Linked DNA regions of Canis lupus familiaris. The protein of the gene in region 3 interacts with the protein of the main gene of each other region in a biochemical or structural test. Links are inferred from orthologs where the notes say so. Each region holds a gene or a part of one and is shown on either strand. Other genes may lie near its edges.

Evidence for each region.
Region 1: the proteins of MAVS (region 3) and MAP1LC3A form a complex in vitro, tested with the Homo sapiens proteins (2 studies listed by BioGRID and IntAct, with this or other methods). The link is inferred for Canis lupus familiaris from reciprocal best matches to the Homo sapiens genes MAVS and MAP1LC3A.
Region 2: the proteins of MAVS (region 3) and RNF5 form a complex in vitro, tested with the Homo sapiens proteins (2 studies listed by BioGRID, with this or other methods). The link is inferred for Canis lupus familiaris from reciprocal best matches to the Homo sapiens genes MAVS and RNF5.
Region 4: the proteins of MAVS (region 3) and IRF3 form a complex in vitro, tested with the Homo sapiens proteins (2 studies listed by BioGRID). The link is inferred for Canis lupus familiaris from reciprocal best matches to the Homo sapiens genes MAVS and IRF3.

The regions. Positions count from the first base shown.
Region 1 is NC_049245.1:24,182,729-24,186,342, reverse strand, and holds MAP1LC3A (microtubule-associated proteins 1A/1B light chain 3A), read right to left. Parts: upstream 2,115-3,614; 5' UTR 1,960-2,114; coding exon 1,920-1,959; intron 1,642-1,919; coding exon 1,586-1,641; intron 1,513-1,585; coding exon 1,406-1,512; intron 1,132-1,405; coding exon 969-1,131; 3' UTR 530-968; downstream 1-529. Other genes in the region: PIGU (phosphatidylinositol glycan anchor biosynthesis class U protein), read left to right, coding at 1-13. UniProt on the Homo sapiens protein: Ubiquitin-like modifier involved in formation of autophagosomal vacuoles (autophagosomes). While LC3s are involved in elongation of the phagophore membrane, the GABARAP/GATE-16 subfamily is essential for a later stage in autophagosome maturation.
Region 2 is NC_049233.1:1,703,246-1,707,265, reverse strand, and holds RNF5 (E3 ubiquitin-protein ligase RNF5), read right to left. Parts: upstream 2,812-4,020; 5' UTR 2,647-2,811; coding exon 2,507-2,646; intron 1,626-2,506; coding exon 1,607-1,625; intron 1,512-1,606; coding exon 1,399-1,511; intron 1,283-1,398; coding exon 1,228-1,282; intron 1,151-1,227; coding exon 1,033-1,150; intron 924-1,032; coding exon 826-923; 3' UTR 357-825; downstream 1-356. UniProt on the Homo sapiens protein: Membrane-bound E3 ubiquitin-protein ligase that mediates ubiquitination of target proteins. May function together with E2 ubiquitin-conjugating enzymes UBE2D1/UBCH5A and UBE2D2/UBC4.
Region 3 is NC_049245.1:17,973,545-17,977,598, forward strand, and holds the start of MAVS (mitochondrial antiviral-signaling protein), read right to left. Parts: upstream 2,853-4,054; 5' UTR 2,834-2,852; intron 1-2,833.
Region 4 is NC_049222.1:107,548,720-107,552,981, reverse strand, and holds the start of IRF3 (interferon regulatory factor 3), read right to left. Parts: upstream 2,860-4,262; 5' UTR 2,623-2,859; intron 1,829-2,622; 5' UTR 1,816-1,828; coding exon 1,651-1,815; intron 966-1,650; coding exon 794-965; intron 709-793; coding exon 638-708; intron 1-637. Other genes in the region: BCL2L12 (bcl-2-like protein 12), read left to right, coding at 2,925-3,063, 3,700-3,814, 4,025-4,167.

The DNA.
Region 1 (3,614 bases), about 6.2 Mb from region 3:
TGTGCTCAAGTAGGCCTGGCTGGGCACAGGGCTGCATGGACTTCAGGGGGTCAAAGGGCCAGAGGCTGGGCCCAGCCCTCTAGCCAGAGTTCCCAGCAGAGGAGTCCTCAGGCAAATGAGGTTCGAGTCCAGGGTTACAAATCTCTGGCACCAGAGGGGAGCCATGGCTGGCAGCAAGGCCTGTGGGGAATAGCCAGGAGCAACTCCACTTGGACCCCCACTTTTTGGCTCTGCATACCAGGGAACCCCCTCCATGCTGGAAAGGGGAAGAAGCAGGTGAGCAGGATTTGTTAGGTTGTGGCTACTTAATAAATCTTTTTTGTTATGAAATCTATCCTGGGCCCACACTGAACTCCTGGAAAGGGTGGGCTTGGCCCCTTATATCACCACGGTATACCACACACTGGTGCGAGTTTCCAGAATGAGCCCCAAGTCCACAGCACACAAAGCTGTTCCTAGTGAGCTGAAACTAGTATGAGACAGTGCCACCCGAAGCCCTACCCATTCCCCAAGCAGCTGGAAGCAAAGGGCCAGGCAGGCCTGAGCAATCTTTATTCTGCAGAGGAACAATGACCACAGATCCATACACCATGTCAAGATCAGGTGAGCCAAGGGCCAGTCCTTCAGGGGTGGGCAGGTCCAGGCAGGGGGGCAGCGCCTCAGGTGAGGGAGGGGCAGATGGGCAGGGGCCTAAAAAAAAGATAAATCACACGAGCAAGAGTGCTGGGGGCTGTTCCCCACCCTCCCCCATCCCAGCCAGCACCCAGGAGGGCATCCCTAACAATGACTGGCCCAGGATCCACCCAGGGGCAGAGTAGGTGCAGTTGGTGCCCCCTGGCTAGGGGGCCAGCATCCCTGCCCAGCCCAGCCCGGGCAGAGCAGTTCAGTTCAGGAGCCAGGAGTTCCCTGGGCAGAGCCTGACAGGGCACCCCCCCACTCCCAGGCCAACCACCCCCCCTACTGCTGGCTCAGAAGCCGAAGGTTTCCTGGGAGGCGTAGACCATGTAGAGGAAGCCATCATCATCCTTCTCCTGCTCATAGATGTCCGCGATGGGTGTGGACACGCTCACCATGCTGTGCTGGTTCACCAGCAGGAAGAAGGCCTGCGTGGGGTTCAGCTGCAGGCGGCGCCTGGGGTGGGCAGAAGAGCAAGCCAGTATGAGGGGACCTGGCTCCTGGGTGGGTGGAGCCCTACACCCCCCTTCCCCCCAAAGGATTGAGGTGGCTTCACACCCATCCCAGCCCCTTCTAGGAGCCCTCACCTCTGACCTGACACTGATCCCAGCCCTGACCTTGACTATCCCAACCTCTCCAGAACAGAGATTTAAGGCCAGGCCCGGCCTGCTGGGGCCTCGCCCTCCCCCAGAAGGACCCAAGCCCCTTCTGACTGCTGCTGCCCACACACCGGATAATCTTGACCAACTCGCTCATGTTGACATGGTCTGGGACCAGGAACTTGGTCTTGTCCAGGACAGGCAGCTGTTTCTCACCCTTGTAGCGCTCGATGATCACCTAGGGGTGGGGCGGGGGATGCGTGAGCCCGGCGGGGCCTGGGGCCGCGGGGATGGGGGGTGGCGGGACTCACCGGGATCTTGCTGGGGTGCTGGTCGCGGATCTGCTGCACCTCCTTACAGCGGTCGGCTGCGGACAGAGGGCGGGCAGTAAGGCCGCGGTCCCGCTCGCCCTTCGCCCCGCCTGTCCCCGGCCCCGCCCCCCAACCCCCGCCCCCAGGGCCATCAGGCCCTAGGGCCTGGCACCCGCCGGCTGGGAGGCGAGGTCCCGGCCCAGGCCTGAACCTGCCTCACGGCCCAGGGGTCCAGCCCGAGTCTGACGTCACGGGGCTGACGTCGCCTGCGGCAGTGAGGGTCAGTCTCGCGGGGCCCCCTCCCCGCGCCCGCTGGCCGCCCGCCGGGCCTCACCGAAGGTCCGCCGCTGCTTGAAAGGCCGGTCCGAGGGCATCGCGCGGGCCCGGCGGGGCGCGCAGGCCGGGGCTCCGGGGCGCGCGGCTGGGGGCTTTGGCGGAGGTTCGGGGGCTCCGCGCCTCGCGCTCAAGGGCTCCGGGGCTCGAGCTGAGCCTGGCGGCGGTGGCTCGGGGAGGTAACTCGCCCGGGTGACGTCAGGTCACAACATTCCTTAAAGGGGAGGCCGGCGCGCCACTCCCATTGGGCCGACGCAAAACCCTCCCGCCCGGACCCGTGACGTCACGGGACAGAGCTGGATTCCCGGTCTGGGCCGCGAAGGGGCGGGGCTTCCTGGGCACGTCACAGTCCGGTGATGTCATGGGCTGCCGCCCCCTCTCCCCGAAGCCGGGGTTGAGCCACCTCTCGGCTCCCGCAGCCCGAGAGCCCGAGAGCGAGCGGGAGCCAGAGCCAGTCCCCAGATCGGCATCTTTCCGTTCCCACTGGTGCCAAGTCATCCCATAGGACACTCGGAGTCTGTTCTGTTCCAGCAACGGTGCGAGGCACCGGGGGTGACAACAGTGAACCCAAAGACCTTCTCGCCTTCGTGGAGCTCATGATTAGAGAAAAAAAAGCTAGGGTGAGGGGATTAAAACATGAAAGAGCAAGACACTAAAAAGGAACACAGGTTTTAGAAGGAATTTCTAGAATTAGAAAAACTATTGAAATTCAGGTCTCAAAGGATGAGACAAAAAAGTAGATTAGATATAGAAGATAAGCCACTGAACTGGAAAATAGATCAGAAGCAACTCACCAGAGAAACTAGGTGATGGGCAATGTAAAAGAGGAAGTGAGTCTTCTCACTTCAGTCCTATCACAGGCCCAATCAGAATTCCAGAAGGAGAGAAAAAAAATGGGAGAGGCAGTACCTGAAGAAGAGCTTACAAACTTCATTAAAGACCAGGATTCTCACATAAAATCCAAAGCGGGATAAATAAAAGTAGCATTTTGGCACTTTGTAATGAATTTGCAGAACTCCAAAGAGAAGATAGAAAAATGGTGAGCAACTCAACTGGCAAACATGTGAGTAGATCTAAAACACAGTGGAACATGAACAGTGACGGTTAATCTGTGGAGTACAAAACAAGAAAGGACACAACTGGTAAGACTGGAGAGGGCAATCAGTTCAAGTGTTCTAAGATGCCTGATTTGAGGGGAGAAAGATAAAGATACTGATAATTGCCCAGCTTTGTAAACCAAAGTGTGTATTTCAGACACTTATGAGGGATCACTAAAGAATGGAAAGTGTAATGGCCAAAGCAGGAAAGGAGAAAAAAAGTAGTTAAAAGAATGGTAAATGATACAAAATCAGAGGTAAAAAAGATTTTACATTCACCTATTAAAACAGATGATCAAAAAAATTTAAAAAAATAAAACAGATGATCAGGGCATGTGGGTAACTCAGTGGTTGAGTGTCTGCCTTCTGCTCAGGTCCGGATCCTGGGGTCCTGGGATCGAGTCCTGCATCGGGCTTCCCACAGGGAGCCTGCTTCTCCCTCTGCCTATGTCTCTGCCTCTCTCTGTGTCTCTCATGAATAAGTAAATAAAATCTTTAAAAAATAAAAATAAAAAAGAAATATACAAAGTGAGTAGCTATATACCTAAAAAAATTAATCCAGATGGTTTTCTAAGTGAACTCCTCCTACTCCTCCCAAA
Region 2 (4,020 bases), on a different chromosome or scaffold from region 3:
TAAGAGATGACTGTGTGTGAGACCTGTGTGTGAGAGACACCTGTGTTTGAGAAAGAGATGCCTGTGTGTGACACCTGTGTGAGACACGTGTATGAGATGACTGTGTGTGAGACACGTGTGTGTGTGAGAGACGCCTGTGTGTGTGTGTGTGAGAAAGATGCCTCTGTGTGTGTTTGTGTGTGTGTGTTTGTGAGAGAGAGAGAGAGAGAGAGACGCCCTCACCCTCTGAATCCCTCAGAGCCTTGAAGAAAGCCTTCACACTTCCCCACACCGTGCAAATATTTACTCAAGTTGGGGAGATGCTCCTGTCCTGGAAGGAAGGGGGTAAGGACAAAGGTGGGCAGAGCTCCCATCAGTACATCTCACCTTGTTTATTGAATTTATAATAAAGGAGGTAGTGAAGGGAAGGAAGGACTTAAGAATCAGAACCCATATTAGACACTGGGGAGAGAAAAATTAAGTCAACAGGGGTAAAGTAGGGGAGAGTCAGTGGGAGCCTTGCCCATCTTTCAACATCAAATCAACAAATGTGGGGGAAAGCAAAAGATCAGGAGAGGGAAGAAACAGACATCCTCTTCCGTCTGTCCTCCTGTCCCAGAGCTGGGAGTTAGGATGCTACGCAGCGAGTTCAGGGCAGAAGTTTCTCCCATCCTCTGCACAGATGTCACACCTCCTCCCCACACCCTCCTACAAAGTGGCCAGGGTTGGCCTTAGCCAGTAGAAACGGAGGGGTTGGGAGGGAGGGGCCAGGAGTAAGGAAGGGTCAGCAAGGACCCCCAATACTGATTCTCCTCTGGCTGGAGGTGGGCAGGAAGGAGACAAAGCTCAAATACTGAGCAGCCAGAAAAAGAAGAAGATGGCGAGAAACAGGAAGAGGGAGTCCTGCCAGCTGGAGGCCGGGTGACCCTGTCCCAGATCCACACCTGTAGGAGAAAGGAAAGCTGTGGGAGAAGCATCCACTCCTAGGTTGGGAAAAGGCCTGAGGGGACTCAGAGGGCTCCCTGCTTGGAGCTGAGGGAAGGCTCTTCTTACCTGTACCCCGACGGAATGGCTCATGGGTGTTGAAGACGGTGGTGAAAAAGCCAAAGGGAAAAGCACCAACACCAAATGAGAAGTGAAAGCCCCCGGTATCACCAAATGACTGGAATCCCTAGGGAGGTGGAGAAAGTCAGAGGAGAACTGGGCAGGTCTTTGGCAAGGAAGGAACACAAATCAGACAAGACTCACCCCTCTGCTCTCTGAAGCTGGTCGCTGGCCCTGGGGGCGGGGTGGAGTTTTCAATCTGAGGAATGAGAGACTGGCTAGGGCTAGCAGCAAGGAATGTCCTCTCCCCCTCCACGCCCCACTCCCAGGCCAGAAGCAGTCCATCTTCCCTCAGCACCACCCCCTCTCTCTCACCTGGGATCCTGGGGCTTCTGGCTCCCTCGCCCATAAAGAGGGACAACCTTTTCTCTGCTGATCCCAGCTTTACACACTGGGCACTCTTGCCGCTCTGGCCGGGTCTCCAACCACTGAGGGAGAAAATGAAGTGGTTTCCAGTTCACAGTAGGGTTTTTCAACTCCTCAGACCTCCCCATTTCCCTCTTCATCTCCTCTGAGTACGCACCTGATGAAGACAGGGCCAACTAGATGGGGGGAAAAAAAGAAGGTCAAACTAGCTACAGTAAAGACAGACACGAACCTGACCTCAGAGTCCGATCGCACCCCTCTTCCCAGGTATTACCTGCTGTTTCTTTTCATGTTTTTGACAACCTATTCCATGCCAGCCAATTTGGCCTTCCCACCTCTCTGATCTTACAACGTCTAAAGTAATATTCATCCTCCGAGGTTCAACGCTCTTCTCTCCTTGAACACACATGTCCCCTCCCTTTTCTGCCTCTGAACTTAGTGTCCAGGTCTCTTCAACCAGAGCTTTCTAGATCTCCTGTTTCAGCCCCAACCCCAGCCCTGCCCGCATCACTCCTCAACCAAACCCCCTTTACTAGCACCTGCCCCCACTACTCCTTTTCCTCTCTTCTAGGCTCCATCAAGTCCCTATTTCCACCATCCTTTCATTTCTCAGTGCCCTGGTCCTCAGGTCTGTCATACCACTCCCTACCAAGATCTCATCTGCATGCGATCCTACATTCCCTCGGTCTCCCGTACCCGACTAAGGCGTGCCTCCTCTAACCTTGGAGTCTAATCTATCTCCACCTGTACAACTAAGACCGTCACTTTCCGGGGTAAGGCGGCTGGGGTCTCACCTGGACAGATGTAGTTCCCCCACCACCACCCCGCCCTGCTGCCTCTTAACCACAGCACACCCCTCAGCGCCCAGTTCCTAGGGCTCTCCGCCACACGGCTCTCCTCCGTGGAGATGTGACCCTCTCACCCACACATTCCCAGAGACCTCGGGCCTCGCCCACGGGGATGTGCCCGCCGACTATCCGTATGCGTGCCATCCCGCCCCCAGCCTCCCCAGTAAGGGGCGAGCCCCATTTCTCTTCAGCCCCGGCCGGACCCTCACCAGTACAGGTGGCCACACACGCTGACCACAGCCTCCCGAGCAGTCTCCAAGCATATATTACATTCGAAGGTCGCGCCCGCCCCGCCCCGCTCGCGGTTTGGCCCTTCGGGGCCCCCGTCCTCCTCCTCCGCGGCTGCCATGGCCGGTGTTTCGCCTTCACGTACCCCTCGGTCTCCCCAAACACACACACAGACACACACACGCCCCAACAGCGAGAAACCGCCTCCAGCCCACGACCGTTGGGCGGGCTTCGAGGTTGTCTAAACACTACTGGTCTGGGTGGCTGACAATCACACAGTTTAAAAGCCAGGATTGGCCCAAAGGGTAGGGAGAGGTCTGCGCAGGCCTGCCCTTGCCAGCGACGATTGGCGGGCGCGTCTCCGTCAGGACGCCATGCGACAGAATTGGTGTCCGTTGGACCTGGTCGGGGAGCTTGATTCGTCTGAGTAGCTGCCAGTCAGGGCCAAGGGCCAGAAGCAATTGGTCCGGGACCACACAGGCCCCGCCTCCTCCGAGCCCTTTCTTTGCTTCACTTCCCCTTTCCGAGAACGTCCGGATTCCTATTGGACTTTGGAGCGTAGAGCTCCGAAGCTCTGGATTGGCTGGAACTCGACGGAAGATGGTGGTTCGGCAAAGTGCGCGCGCGCAGCAGGCGGCGGGAAGGGGCGGGCCAGGCCGAGAGTGCTCGGCTTTCTCTGGCCCCACCCCCTCGCCGCGCTCTTGTCGCCGTGGTGACTGCTCTACGATTGGCGGGCTTTGGGGTTCAAAGGCATCAGCGCCGCCTCATCCGGGCCCTCCGACTGCGGTCTCTCCGGGCTGATTGGCTAGTTTCTTGCAGCCCTGATTGGCCGAGATCGGAAAAGACGGCCGAGAGCTCGGCGAGGTAGCAAATGCTATGGTCGCAGGGCTCAAAATGGCTCCGGCCTCCTTCGGTGACGTAGAGGGCAGAACTGGGGCTCGCCCCTCCCTTTCAGTGAAGAAGGGAGCAGAACTGGCATCAGCTCGACGTGTGGGTGGTGCGAGCATCGACCTGCGGCGCTGGTGTTAACCCATCTCCCTCGGCTGCGGGACGCAGCCCGCTCCTCCTTAGGTGACTTGCAGAACAGATCTCAAGGCCCACACCTTTCTAACGTTGACACAGGATGACAGAGTTGACCCCGGCCCCGTTTTAAACCTGAAAAGCGAACTAGCTCCACCCCTTCGTGAGTAGGTGCCGAGGGGGCAAGGCCCGCCCTCCTGAGCGACCCGCGGCGGAATGGGGTTAGGCCCGCCCCTTCCGTCCTGTAGTGTGTCCCGCAGAAGTGGGGTCTTCCTCCTGGGTAGGACCCCCGGGACTTGGGCAGGCCCGAGCTTGGGCCTTCTCTACAGTCAGTGACCTCACTGTGGCCCAAGGAGCAGAACTAGGTAACAGTCCTCCCATACCAGTGTTCCTTACATCCTCGACCTCAGGGCGTGTAAATTCTAGCAGGGCGAATGTGTGTCTGGCAGCGGGGACAGACTCGGGCCGAGGGCAG
Region 3 (4,054 bases):
GTACACTAGAAAAAAGAGAAAAAAGCCCCAAAATAATAATAGGATCATCCTACTTTAAAGGTCAAGAAAATGAGGTACCAAGAAATTAAGGGGCTTGCTAGTTAGCAGAAGAGCAAAGATCAGAGGTCAGGTCCTTTCCAGAACATGACCGCAAGCCCACCATTAAAGCTTGCCACATACATGTTCTTAGGATAGGAGGCTAGTTCCACTCACCGTATGATCTAGGGCAAATTACCGGCTTTCTACAGTCTTCTCTTTACCCCTAAAATGACTCAGAGGGCTTGTTTTGACAATACAGTAGCTCAACTGCATAAGCCTGACATTTACAAGTGCCTCAATTACTAGCAATTGCTACTACTTGCTTAGGTAGGACTTACCACAATTTGCAATTATAGATGGGGTTGTCTGTGAGTTCCTTACCTGCCTCCCCCTCAGGGAGAGCTGCAGGGAATAAGAGGGACAAGATCTCTGCCATCATCCAATTTATATTCTATTGGGGTGGGACAGATAACAAATCAGTAAACACGTACATAAATAAGAATTCCAAATAGTAACCAAGTTATGAAGAAAATAAACCAGGGTTTTGAGACAGAATCCCTGGAGAAGGACGTGCTGCATGAACAGAGGTGGTCAGGTAAGTCTTTCTGAATTGGTGACATTTGAGCTGAGCCATTCTGAGCTGCAAGATCAGCATTTTGGGCGGAGGGCACAGCAATTTAAAAGTCCTAAGGTGGAAATGACCTTGGCATGTTTGAAGAACAGAAAGCAGGTCTGGGTGGTCCAGGTTTAGAAAGCTAAGGGGAGGGGAAGGGATCAAGGTCAAGGAGGTTCTGAAAAGTGGTGGCTCATGTGCAGTGTTGCAGGAAAGGACTCTGGGGGTTGTTATTTTTGCTTTGGGGGGTTTCTTGGAGTGAAATGGGAAGCCACTGGGGGTTCTGAGCAGAGAAGGGAGAGGATCTGACTTATGTTAAAGACCTCTCTGGTAGTTGTGAGGACCTGGATTGTACAGAGGCCAGGATGGAAGCAGGGAGACAATTGGGAGGCTGAAGCAGGGGGCCACAGGATGGGTATGGCCAGAATGCTGCCCATGGAGATGGTGAGAGGTGGCTGGATTCCTAGTGGGTCCTGGATGTGGGAAGTGAGGGAGAGAGAAGAATCAAGGATAACTCCTCAGGCACTAGGTAGATGGATGGTGCCATTTAGGCAGGCCAGAGAACCTGGTGGAGAAGCTGTGGTGCAGAGAGGATTCCAAAGCTCCATTTTGATCAGGTGATCATAGTGTCTCAAGTCTGAGACACTATGACATGTCCAAGTGGGTTTTCTGGGAAGAAAGGGGTCAGAAGAGGAGCCAGACTGGAGCAAAAATGTGGGTGTGTGGCTTGGGTGGGACTCTAGAAGATAATGTTGCAGAGCAGAGCTGGGGCCACCAGTCTGTCACCCATATGGGAAATGGGGCAGTAGTCCTGTCTGCTGGCCTCATAGCCTCATGTGGCATGCCTTGCTCTGTCAGCCACCAGGTGCTACATTATTGGTGTGGCAAGTGTCAATGACAGAAGTCAAGAGGTTCAAGAAGATGGGGCAGGGGTCCTCTGAGCGTTCAGGAGATGAGCAAAGAACTCTAAGGTGGCTAAATGACGCTTTTCTCCTTTCTTTCCATGGCATGTGGGGAGGGACAAGGATAGAGTCAGGTGATACATTCTTCTGCATCTGAGCCGCAGCCCTAAGGACAAGAGTTTGGGGGGTATGGAAGTAGAACATGCTCCAACCAAAAAGGAAGGAAGCCCATATTTGTTCATATTTATTCATGATCTACTATAGGCAGGCACATTCTAATTTTCTTTCCTTTAGGAGAGGAGAAATGATGCTGGGTTGTACAAACAGACCAGTGGCCCTAACAGGATTTGAACCCAGGACTTGCTGTCTCATTGCAGTTCACCATACACCTTACAGAACATAGGGGCTGCTGCAACAAGTGAGACTCACAGCCCCAGAGGGACCAAGGCCACTGCCTGGGTGAGGGGAGTCCTCAGATGGGGGTGTGCCAGGGAGGCTGAAAGACGTAGTCCCTTCTCTTGTAGGAATAGTATGTAAATCATTCAGACAAGGCTGACTGCATGCTAACCTGCCCTGTTCGGCAGTCGCAGTTCTCAGATCGCTGACTGTCCTTCCAGAAGTTTTTAAGGCTCCACAGCGTGCACAGAACGTCGTTTTTTGGTTGTGTTTTTTTTTCCCCCAATGTTTTCCTAGCAGCTCCTTCCGGTCTCAGAGAAGGGCGGACTGACGCTGCGAGAAGTTCCTACCTTGAATGCCCCGGACGCGCTGAGTGCGTCCCGGAAAGAAATAACCACCCGGAGGAGAGAGGCGAGGCCTCACTGATTTGGCTCCAATTCCTGGAAGGAACCAGGCCCGCGGAGGGAGGGAGGGAGGCTGTTCTGGTCAGATGTCACCACCGAGAACTGTCAAGGCCCGGGGGAGGACGGCGGCCTCTAGGCGCGGCCGCAGCTCCGGGAGGTTAGGCCTCGCCCCAGGGTCACCCCCGGCCTGCGGGGCGCTGGAGGCACTCAGCAGCCAGCGCCTGTCTGCTCCCCCAACCTCCCCTCCCGCCCGAGCACACGACCCACGCCCCCCCGCCCCGCCCGGCGCTGCCGCGAAGCGCGGCGCCTCGGGACCGGCTCTAACCCAGCCCCGCGCAGCCAGTCCCGTCCCCGGACCCCCGTGCGCCCCGGTGGGCTCCGCGTCCCGCTCCGCTCTTGCCTCCGCTGACCACCGCTCCGAAAGCCATCGGCGCGCCCAGAGCCCAGGGGACCGACCGCGCCCGGGACGGCTAACTTACCTCGGTAGCCACTACCCGGCTACCCGCGGACCTCCGCAGACACCCCGGAACCCTCCCCTGCAGGAGGGGGCGCGGCAGAGAGGGGCGGGACCGCGAGGCCATTGGCCAGGCGGCGGGGGCGGGGCGTGGCGGCCAGCCTGAGCCACTGGGCCGCGGGGGTGGGCGCTTGGCAGTGGTTCGAGGGCCTGGACCCGCGGGACAGGCGCTCCGGGCAGACCTAGGCTCCTGCTGGGGCGCAGAGGATCAGATTATTTTGTTTGTCCAGAACAAACTTCCAGGGGAAATACAGAATCTGGCTAGAACTCAAGTGGCTGACCGACCTCGGAGTCAGTGCTCGGCTGGGTCCCCATGCTTCCTACGCCAAGCAATCACTCCTCCTGAGTAATTTGAGGGGGGAGGGTCTTTATGGCATTTGTACCGGGGCACCCAGGGCCTGGCATAAAGTTAGTGCCCAATAAATATCGAGTGATACGCAAAGTGCACAGGAAGCGACACCAATGCTGGGCCTGAGGAAGCAGGATCACAGTGCGAGGAGGCTGGGTAGGTGAGAGCAGGGCAGGGGCGCCAAGTTCGGGCTGCCCAGACTGCTGGCTGTGGGTCTTGAGTGCTGTGTGGGAAAGGCTTCTCTGCCCAAGGGTCTGGACCAGGTACCTCCCCACAGCGCCTGCCAGCTGCCTGGCCCTTCCTCTGTTTGGGGCTGAGGCCAGCAATTACTGAGCCTCCCACTGTGTTCCAGGTACAGGCTTAAAGTCTTATACCTTAGAAGCCACTAAATACTCAGACAATCACCAGGTAGAGGTTTATTTTTCCTGGTTTTAAGAAATATTAAAAGATTCAGGGGTGTCTGGGTGGCTCAGTCAGTTGAGGGTCTGCCTTTGGCTGGGGTCATGATCTCAGGGTCCTAGGGTCAAACCCGCATCTGGCTCCCTCCTCATCAGAGAGCTTGCTTCTCTCTCTCACTCTGCTGCTCCCCCTGCTTGTGCTCTCTCTCTGTCAAATAAATGAATAGAATCTTAAAAAATAAATAAATAAAAGATTCAGAAAATGGCAGTTCTTAAGTGAAACCTATGCCAAGCCTATCACCCAGCCACCACTCCTAGGTGTGTGTCACATGCACAATAGCTAATATTCATAGTGGCTTTGTTCACAATAGGCAAACTCTGGGAACGACCCAAAGGTCCATCAGCAGAATAAAGAGATAAACTGTGGTGTGGTCACATT
Region 4 (4,262 bases), on a different chromosome or scaffold from region 3:
TCTTGGTCTCTGTCTGTCTCTCTGTGTCTCTCATGAATAAATAAAATCTTTTAAAAAGGGGGCGGGGGCTTCCAGTTGGGGCTGGCAGGGAGGTGGGGGATAGGAGGTAGGTAGACAAGCATGGGCACAGATGACAAAATATATGCTCTGGTATATGATGGATGCTACTATTGGCCCAAGGGGAACAGCTAGTTCCAGCCCAAGGACCTGGCCCTGGGCAAGCAAGACCTGGGCAGAGAAGGCTGGACACTATTTCAGAGGGGACCTGCCCTGGCATGGACGTCAGCAAGACCAAGGATAGGGTGGTTCTGGGTTCCCAGGAGGCTGAGGGTACTCTACATAGCAAGAGAAACTGTGAAATTCTAGAAAGGTGTATTAGGGCCCTAAATGCCTTGGTGAAAGCTCTGCATTTTTTTCCTGAGACACTGGAAGCATCCATGGAAGGGCTCGCTATGAGCAGGAGAGGGACAGGGTCATCTCTAGATGAGTGGGTGGACAGCCCACAGGGGATAGGATGGAGGCTCAGGAGGAAGATTTGATGTGATGGTCCAGGGGGAGGAGAGGAAGCCTGAACAAGGCTGTGGGGACACAGAAGATGGGTCATCCTGAGGGCAGGAAGGATGGGGTGCATTCTTGCCTGGGTATCCGAGGTACTGTATCTGCCATTGGTGTCTGGAAAGGTGTCCAACTCAGGCAAGTTCCCAGCTCCTGCCAGGGAAGGTGGTGAGTGGAGCAGAGTGTTGGGGATGCTCAAAATCCCATCCCTCCACATGGAGCCCCACTTCTGGCACACCTGAGATCACAAACTCATAGACCTTGTGTGGGTCGTGGGGGTCTTTGCTCCGATCTTCAGCTACACGCAACTCCTCCTTCCGGTTCAGGGCAGATCGGAAATTCCTCTTCCAGGTGGGCAGATCAGGTTTATCCTTTCCAGGAGTGTAGGCACCGCTGACCTCGGCCCACGCCTGGGGATCCAGTTGGTACCAGGATGGTGAGGATGACTAAGACCCCGGCCCAAGGGCGCTCTCCCCTGGCACGTTCTAACTTGACAAGGATCCATCCCCAAACTCTTGGACTCTGCATCGTAAGCACCCTCCCACCCCCACCCCCCCCCACCCCCCCGCTTCACCTATTCAAAAACTTTGCTTTCTAAGCCAACCTTCCAGGTCCTACTGGGCGTCTAACTCTGCCAGCAACCTGCCCCAGGACAGGTTGTAATGGCCCCGCCCCCTCGTACTCGAACTCGGGTTACCACCACTGGTGTATCCGAATTTGGTGGGAAATCACCTCAGCTTTGGGGCCAGGTCTCGCCTCGAAGGTTCCAAAACCAGCCCTCAGAATTCTACGACCCAAAGCCCCGCCCTCTGCGAGCCCTCAATCCCCAGTTTGCATTTCTCTCGAGTTCTAACCCCGCTTTTCCGGTTCTTTTTCCGGAACCTGGCCGTTCCAGCCGTGCCCGCCTTGCGACATCCGTCCGCTGATCCTCCTAACCCTGCCCAGTCCTGTCCTAACTCCACTCACCTCCACCTGCCACCGTCAGCGCCGGCCGACCCTACGCAGGCTAACCCCTCCCTCTCGGCTCCGCCCCCTGGGAGTCCACCCCTCGGGTAGGTTAGCTCAGGGCTCCCCGGCGGCACGAAGCTCTCGCACCTGGAAGATGCCGAAGTCCTCCTGCTGGGCATCCTGCCGCAAGCCATGCTTCCAAGGGATGCGAAAGCGCGTGCGGCGCTCGTCCAGCCAGGCCACCCCCTCCAGCTGCCCTAGGTCCAGCTGTGACACCAGCCAGGGCAGGATCCGCGGTTTTGGGGTTCCCATGGTCCGGCCTGCGCTTAGAGGGCAGTTCGTGGGCGCGGATGGCCTCTTAGCTACCCGCCCCCACCCCCGAGGGTTCCGCTCCCAGACCTTCCTCTCATGGGGCGGCGGTGCAGCGTCCCTCACTTATATTTTCCTGGGGTATAAAACAAGACAACTCCTCTTTTCACCTCCAGACAGTCCCCCAAGTCAACGAGGACTTCCCGCCCAATCCATTTGAGACGGCCCGTCTTTCCCCACCTCCTCCTGAGCAGATCCTCTACCTCCCCAACTCAGCCAGGGTAGATTCTTCCCTCTTCCGTTGTAAACCCTCTCCTCCCCTCCCCTCCCCCACATCACCTAAGGCAGTCACCTCCGCGTCCAAGGTAGAGACTCCCCTGGTTATTTCAGGGCAGACGTTATTACCTTGTAGATCTCTACCTCCCGCACTTATCTGTGTTGCGGACTCCTACAGAAGAGCCCCTCACCCATTTCCACGGTGGACCCTCCATCCACCATCCTTCCCCCCAAACAGCTTCCTTCCTCTAGGGCACCCCCCCCCCACACATACTCTATAGAGTGGACTGCCTCCCATTTTCAGAGTCTGCTCTTCTCTGCCTTAGATCCCCCCATGCAGACGCCTCCCCCCCGCCCCCGCTACTACTTTTTATTTCACAGCCGACCTCCGGCAGCGGCCATAGCTTCACTTTTACTCGAACTCTGCTTCACCTTCCCTAGAGTACACCTTGCTCCTCTAGACTCAGGGCAGACCCAGCACGTCTCGCGTTTCTCGCCCCGGGCGCCACCAATTCCCCAGATCTTCCCAGTTACCTACGTAGAGGGTCGGGGCGCTCAGGGTGCTAGAACCCGCCCCTGCCTTTGGGGTCCGATAACTCTCGAACTTGCAGCTGCACACCCTACTTCCCGTCAGCTGAGCTTCAGAGAAAGAGGGTTTTCTTTTCTATCGATTTCATAAAACAAAAACAACTTTATCTGCGATTGGTTGACAAGACTCCAGAGCCAAAGAGGCGGCACCAAGAACCCGGACGCCCCCGGTTCTCCCCTCCCCCCCCGCTATGCCCTTTATAGGTCTTCCGGCCAAAGGCATGCTGGGAACGCCACATGCAAATCAGATGGGTATCCAGCGCTCCGCCCCTCCCACTACGGGGCTGACACCAACCCGGCCCAGTGCGCAGGCGCGGGAAAGTTGCACTAATAAAAGTTTGCTCAAGTTCGGTGAAGGAGAGGGGGTCGGCGGCTTCCCGGCCCCAGGTAAGCTGGGCTTTTGTGCAGGCTGGGGCGAGAAGGGAAAAGGACGGGTCTAGGAGCGGGCACCTCAGTCCCGCTTCCTGGACATCTATGCACCCCGGGTCCCCAAGATTCCAGCGTGGGTCAGATAATGGAACTACACTTCCCAAGGAGGCTGCGCGGCGCACAAGTGCGGACCGAGGGGAAGGTTTGCCATGAAGCCTGCTGGGATTCGTAGTTCCTGATTCTCTAAGAGCATGAGCGGCTTGGCGTTATGCCTCCAGAAACCAGAAGTCGTTGCCCCAAGTTCCGTTCTTTCTCAGACTCAACAATTCAGATCCTCCAGCCCCCTTCTCCAAAAAATCTTCAGAGTCCAGCCCCCAGTCTTTTGACCCCAGGAACCCGGGTCCCTAAGCCTCTTCCTCTCCAAGGATCAAGGAGTCTTCGGCCTCATCGCTCTTCTCCCTCTGAGAACTCAAGAGTCTGGGTCCCCAGACCCTAACTCCCCTAAAGGATTTAGGAGTTGAGACTCTCACCCCCTTCTTCCTTCGGGAATTCGTGGGTCCTGGCGCCCTCCTTATTCAGGGACTAGGCATTTGGGCACCAATCCTCCACTTCAGTTCAACCCTGGAGCCCATCCCCCAGCTCCCTTTTTCACAGGTGCCCCCATGGCAGGCTCAGAAGAGCTGGGGCTCCGGGAGGACACGCTGAGAGTCCTAGCTGCCTTCTTTAGGCGAGGTGAGGCTGCTGGGTTCCCCAGCCCTACCCCACCCAGGTAAGAGGAGCTGCCTTCTTTCCGCTGGGGCCTGCATTTGGGGTGGGGCCCTCTCTAACTTTTGTACCTGGTCTCTGTCTGCGTTCCCCTCTTTTATATCTGGCCCTTTATCCTTGTCCCTGGGGTTGCAGTGACAGGCCCTCAGTGGGAGGAAGAAGGGACTGCTTGCAAGGGGCCTCTGCAGTCATTCTCTGAGGTCCCCTTCCCCAGGAGTCCTGCCCAGGAGGAGCCAACAGATTTCCTGAGCCGTCTTCGAAGATGTCTTCCCTGTCCCCTGGGGCGAGGAGCAGACCCCCCTGTGTCCCCTCGGCCTTGCTCCTTGCCCCTCCGCCCATGCTATGTTTCAGAGCCTGGTAAGAGATTTTCCTAGATCACCTGGACACCGGCAGGGCCAAAACTTTGAACCTTTTTTTTTTTTTTTTTTTTTTTTTAAGATTTTATTTATTTA